2 linked regions of the Nothobranchius furzeri genome follow. The protein of the gene in region 1 purifies or fractionates together with the protein of each later gene. This does not show direct contact. Links are inferred from orthologs where the notes say so. Each region holds a gene or a part of one and is shown in the gene's direction. Other genes may lie near its edges. The genes, in order: zgpat and otud5a.

Region 1 (2,509 bases):
AGTTTGACTCACTGCTGCTGAAAGATGCTGTCGTTGAGGCTGATGGCATCATCCCACCTCTCAGAGAGGACGACCCACTCTCCTCAGACTCTGATACTGAAGAACCTGGAGATGGGGAGGCTGTGGGGTATGCTAAAGGTATAAAGACCATTTTAAATAAAAGGAATCTGTATGAAAAAACACACCTCCTTCACTTAAACCAATGTAAAGGTTGTGTTCTTAAATATAGTAATTATGTAATTATATTTTAAAAGACATATTTAATTTGTAAAAAATATAAAAAAATATATACAATAAATATAAATAAACACCTCCTTACATTTTAAGCTTTAAAAATATTTTTTATGTTTTAACATATTTTTAAAAAATATTTAAAATTAAAAAAATATATAAACATTTGTATACATCAATATTTACTTTTTTATCTAAACTGAGTGAAAGGGTGTTTTTAAATGTGAATGTGTGTGTGCATGTGTGTGTGTAGGTGGGTGGATGACTGATTGAGTTGTAAAGTGCATGGGGGGGGGGGGGGGGGGGGGCTCTAGGACTCAAATACAGGCCGTTTACTATTTTACATAAAATCAACATTAAACATTTGAATATGAATACACACCTTGAATTAAACCAATTTAAGAGTTATGTTTTTAAATATTGGAATTATTTTTTTATTTTTAATTATTTGTCTTATTCTGAAAAAAGTATATATATATATATATATATATATATATATATACATACACACACACACACACACTTATATACATATATATGTATATGTGTGTACACATATTTATTTATATATATATACATATATATGTATATATATATATATATATATATACAGTATATATATATATACATATATATATACTGTATATATATATACATATATATACAGTATATATATATATATATATACTGTATATATATGTATATATATATGTATATATATATATATATATATATATACTGTATATATATATACATATATATGTATATATATATGTATATACTCTATATATATGTATATATATATACATATATATGTATATATATATGTATATACTCTCTCTCTCTCTCTCTCTCTCTCTCTCTCTCTATATATATATATATATATATATATATATATATATATATATATATATATATATATATATATATATATATATATATATATATATACACACACACACACTTATATATTACATACATAAAAATGTAATATACATGTTGTTACACATTTCTGCGTTATTTTTTTCGCCACAGTTCTGGACTCTGCCACAGAATCCACGTTAGCATCAAGCAGCGCTAACTTCGGTGGCTGGGAGGCTCACACTAGAGGCATCGGATCCAAGCTCATGCTCAAAATGGGCTATGAATATGGCAAAGGTGAGAGTTCAAATGCATTTGGTGTTATGAAGTCCTGTCATCTGTGAAATACTCTTGTTTTTTTCAAACTCTCTTTTTAGTTTAGAATCGAACTAAACTGAATCCAAATGAACAAATGAAACTGATAAAATAGCTGCTGATGATTAATGACACACAGAGATAAAAAAAAGTGTTCGTGTTGACTATTTAGCGCTTTTAAATTCATTTCTGCTGAGGATGTGCTCAGTGCAGTTTGCTGCGTTGCCTTGCCAGTACGTGACATATTGCTACCTGTAATTCTACTGTTTCAAACATTCAAAGGCACATTTACATCCATAAAACCTAATCGTTGGTGCAAAAGCTGTTTGATGATCTAGATCGAGTCCGTCTCCTAATAAAATGTTTTAACTTGATCCAGACAAAAATAATCCTAATCTCAAAGAAACCTTTACTTTGATGACCGGCCCGGGGGGACAGTTTTCCATATGAAAAAGAGATTTTCTCTTTCTTTTTTTCAATAAATAAAGATCAGGGGTCTCATGCATCAAGCTTGTTTATGCACAAAACAGGGTCGGAAAACTGCGTGAGCAACTTTCCACGCAAACTTTGGGATTTATGAAAGAAAACTTAGCGGAAAAATGTGCGCAACTTTAAGTTGACTAAGGACCTGGCTTATGCACATGTTGGACGTGGAGAGCACCTGCAGTGCTGCTGCTGAGAAGATACAATTATGAAATCCTGCAGCATTATCACTTGTACCGCTTCGTTTTCACACAGAACAAGACCCCCACATGCACACACGCGCACACTCACACACACACACACGCGCGCACGCACACTCACACAGCCTGACGCGCAGAATACGGAGTGCAGAATATCAGCAGGGGGACAGATTGAGACAGAACATCATGCGTCTGTGACAGTGTGTACTTGTACAGGGGAGATCTCCGTTTGGCTGACTGGTTAGCATGCCTGACTTTCACCTGGGAGTCTGGGGATCGAATCCCGATTGGACCACTTTTTTTTATATCCGCCACAGATCTCTCTGAAGAACTCACAGCATCGACGGCTTCAGCAACGCTGTGCCGCTCCGTGGATTTTCTCTTATTTGTTTTGCAAAAGCACTTCCTTTCATTTCTCC
Region 2 (3,841 bases), about 4.5 Mb from region 1:
ATCAGGTGTACGGAGACCAGGACATGCACGAGGTGGTGCGGAAGCACTGCATGGACTATCTGGTGAGGAAGCGACTCGTTGCTGTAAAATCCGGAGCTTTCATCTCGTCGCCCGTTTTTAACCACATTTTCTCGCTCAGGTGAAGAACGCCGACTACTTCTCCAACTACGTGACAGAAGACTTCACCACATACATCAACAGGAAGAGGAAAAACAATTGCCATGGCAACCACATCGAGATGCAGGCCATGGCCGAGATGTACAACAGGCCAGTGGAGGTGTACCAGTACAGCACAGGTGAGTCCTGTCCCCCTGCTTTACAATCAGCCAATCGCATCGTAGTTTGCTTACCTTACTCCGCTTCCTCCTGCAGAGCCAATCAACACATTCCACGGCATCCACCAGAACAACGACGAGCCAATCAGAGTCAGCTATCACCGTAACATCCACTACAACTCGGTGGTGAACCCAAACAAGGCCACGATCGGGGTCGGCCTGGGGCTGCCCGCCTTCAAACCCGGGGTACCAGCACACACATCTCTCATCTCCTCCAGCTCGTACTGGTTTCCTCATTTTCATGTGTGTGTGTGTGTGTGTGTGTGTGTGTGTGTGTGTAGTACGCTGACCAGTCTCTGATGAAGTCAGCCATAAAGACGTCGGAGGAGTCGTGGATCGAGCAGCAGATGCTGGAGGACAAGAAGAGGGCGACGGACTGGGAGGCCACCAACGAGGCCATCGAGGAGCAGGTGGCCCGGGAGTCCTACCTGCAGTGGCTCCAGGACCAGGAGAAACAGGCCCGACAGGTACCGGAGCAGCTCAGTGAGGCCAAAACAGAGTCTGGCGGGTCAAAGTTCAGGAACGATTCCAGAGTTTGACGTGCTGTCTTTCTGCGGGACAGAAGTCTAGGTTGTTGTGTGAACTTTGACCGTGTTTTCAAAGTCTCCTATCAGAGGTCTCCAACCCATCTGTTAGATGTTGTTATGGCAACCAGCAGAAAACATCCTGGTTTTCAGTCTGATTGGTCGGTTTGATGTGGTTCTGCAGCTTGTAGTTCTAGTCGTAGATGTTGGAGATGAAGTTAAAGTCCCATTAGTTGTCACACACACAGGTGTGTGTGCGAAAAATGTTCTCCGCATTCGACCCATCCCCTGGGGGAGCGGTGAGCTGCAGACAAGCCGCGCTCGGGAACTATTTGGTGGTTTAAACCCCCAATCCAACCCCTTAATGCTGAGTGTCAAGCAGGGAGGCATTGGGTCCCGTTTTTTCAAAGTCTTTGGTCTGACCCGACCAGGAATCGAACCCTGATCTCCCAGTCTCAGGGCGGACACTCTACCACTAGGCCACTGAGAAAGGTCACGAATCCCACGGCCTTTCTATGTGTTCCAGCCCCGTAAGGCCAGCGCCACCTGCAGCTCGGCAACGGCAGCAGCCTCCAGCGGCCCAGACGACTGGAGTGCCCGGTCGCCACGGCAACGAGACTCTGACCCATCTCACTCTGATCTCACGACCAGCTCATCAGCGAACAACAAGCCCCCCTCGCCTGCAGGAGCCGCCCTGATCCTGAGCAAACCGCCATCGCCCTGCGCCCCAGGTGACTGACACACACACACACACACACACACACAGAAATGTTAATGTGCGAGGCTGATGACTGATAGGCTACTTTAAGCTAATGGTAACTGACAGCTAACGGCTAGTTCAAGCTAACGGCCCCGTCACAGTTAACAGCTAGTCTGGGCTGAAGGATAGTTTGTTAGAATCAGAGTCCAGAGTGGCGCCGAGCTGATGCAGAACCTGACTGGTGTGTTTGTGCTCAGGTCCAAGTAATCAGAGTCGTCACCACTTGGAGTACAGAGCCATCATGCAGGAGATGTCTCCCACAGCGTTTGGTAAGACACTTACACACACACACACACACACACTTACACACACACACTGAAAGATAGACACAGCTGTCAGTCACTTCTGTTGTTTACAGTCAAACCTCAGCTGGAGTCAACAGGAAGCAGCTGAGCAGAGCATTGTGTGTGTGTGTGTGTGTGTGTGTGTGCGTGTGTGTGTGTGTGTGTGTGTGTGTGTGTGTGCGTGCGTGCGTGCGTGCGTGCGTGCGTGCGTGCGTGCGTGCGTGCGTGCGTGCGTGCGTGCGTGTGCGTGTTTCTGAGCAACTCTGAGTTTATATCAGGGACCAAAACATTAGAAGTTCCTGTTTGTTGTGTTTTGTTTGTCTCTGAGCGGACGGTCGTGTGTCTGTAAACACTCAGATAATTCCACATCATCATGAGAACCAGATTCTGCCGATCCTCTCTGAGCTTCTGCAGCTTGTTGTCATGGCGGCTTGTTGTCACCCCCCCCCCCCCCCCCCCCCCCCCCCCGTTCGGTTTGAGCTCCTTCCTGTTTTCTGCTTCTTGTCTGGGTTCGGGTCGTTAGAGTCCGTATTCTGGTTCTGAAACTGAACAGTTCTCACCTTTTTTTGGTTTGGTTTCAAGATGAGCAGCGAATAAAGCAGCAGGTAAACTCGCTTCTGATTGGCTGCTGCGGATATGAGACGTGAACCTTCGGCTCTTTGAAGGTTAAATGAAAAGGAAACTTCAAAACCAACTTCCTGCTTCGTTAACTAACCCGACCAATCCCAGAACCAGCTCAACCAGTAGACTCCTGTTGGTGTTCAGTAACTAAACCAAAATCTTTATGAATTTGTTTAATTAGCCTTCATTCAGTAAATATTTTTTTATTCTGAAAAACATAAATGTTGTTTTCTTTGGTTTTATTCTTTAAGTTGAGTCTTTGAGGCATTTTTTAACCTGGGTTAGTCAGCTTTACCAGGTCACCTGACACACCTGCTGAAGGATGGATAACTGTTTAATATTAAATAACCCTAACCACCTAAACTCAACTATGAAGAAGAACCAGAACACGGAGACGGACCCGACTGGGTCAAAGGTTACTCAGAACCCATTTAGATCAGGAACCAAAGTGTGTAAGGTCCACCCTGACAGCAGGGGGCGCTGTGTGTGTTTCAGGTCTGACGGACTGGGAGGACGATGAGATCCTGGCGTCGGTTCTCGCCGTGTCCCAGCAGGAATACCTGGACAGCATCAAACACCAGAGCTCCTCCAGCACCGCCATGCATCGAGATAGGGAGGCGTCGCCCGACAGCAGCTGATACCCGGGTGACGCCAAACTCCGGCCCCTGCCATCTCACCCCCTCCTCCCCCGCCTCACCTCTGACCTTCAGACAGAGCTCAAACACAACAACGATGCACTCTTTTTTTTATTTTTTTCATCAGCTTCCTCTTCCTCTGTCTCACTTCCTGCTCCTCCCACTTCCTGGTACTTCACAGACACAGCTGGGTCTTACCACTGATCTGAGATCAGTTATTATTTAAAGTCAGCAGCTTCCAGCAGTTTGAGTTTTACTCCTCTCGTCAGTCAGGCTGAACAACCCCAACCCAACAGAACCCGGTGGCCGTCCCACTAACAAGTCTTATGAACTCAGCCACCATGTTGTCCCACCGCTGTCAGCCATGTTGTAGCAGCGCGGCTCATCTTCATCAGACGAACTGAAGCCTTCAGCCTGTAACTCCTCTTCATCATCACCGTCATCATCAGACTTATTTAGCTGCATGTTTAATCGACCACAGCGACATCATAGAAAAGCAACAAATAAAAAAAGGAGAAAAATAGAAAATTGTCATACTTATCCTCTTAATGATTGATTATTGTTATTATTAATAATATAAGTTTGTTTTATTTTATTTTTGTTTGTTTGTTTGGGAAGAAAAAAGTTTTTTCTTGGAATAAAAGAGAAAAATGTTTCTGAACCACGTCCGAGGTTTCTATTC

The links.
Region 2: the proteins of zgpat (region 1) and otud5a purify together in Homo sapiens (affinity purification with mass spectrometry; 3 studies listed by BioGRID, with this or other methods). This does not show direct contact. The link is inferred for Nothobranchius furzeri from reciprocal best matches to the Homo sapiens genes ZGPAT and OTUD5.

What each region holds. Positions count from the first base shown.
Region 1 is NC_091755.1:51,595,956-51,598,464, reverse strand, and holds part of zgpat (zinc finger CCCH-type with G patch domain-containing protein), read left to right. Parts: coding exon 1-138; intron 139-1,266; coding exon 1,267-1,389; intron 1,390-2,509. UniProt on the Homo sapiens protein: Transcription repressor that specifically binds the 5'-GGAG[GA]A[GA]A-3' consensus sequence. Represses transcription by recruiting the chromatin multiprotein complex NuRD to target promoters.
Region 2 is NC_091755.1:47,047,645-47,051,485, forward strand, and holds the end of otud5a (OTU domain-containing protein 5-A), read left to right. Parts: coding exon 1-62; intron 63-139; coding exon 140-296; intron 297-372; coding exon 373-521; intron 522-616; coding exon 617-802; intron 803-1,385; coding exon 1,386-1,590; intron 1,591-1,816; coding exon 1,817-1,888; intron 1,889-3,019; coding exon 3,020-3,162; 3' UTR 3,163-3,345; downstream 3,346-3,841. UniProt on the Homo sapiens protein: Deubiquitinating enzyme that functions as a negative regulator of the innate immune system. Has peptidase activity towards 'Lys-48'- and 'Lys-63'-linked polyubiquitin chains. Can also cleave 'Lys-11'-linked ubiquitin chains (in vitro).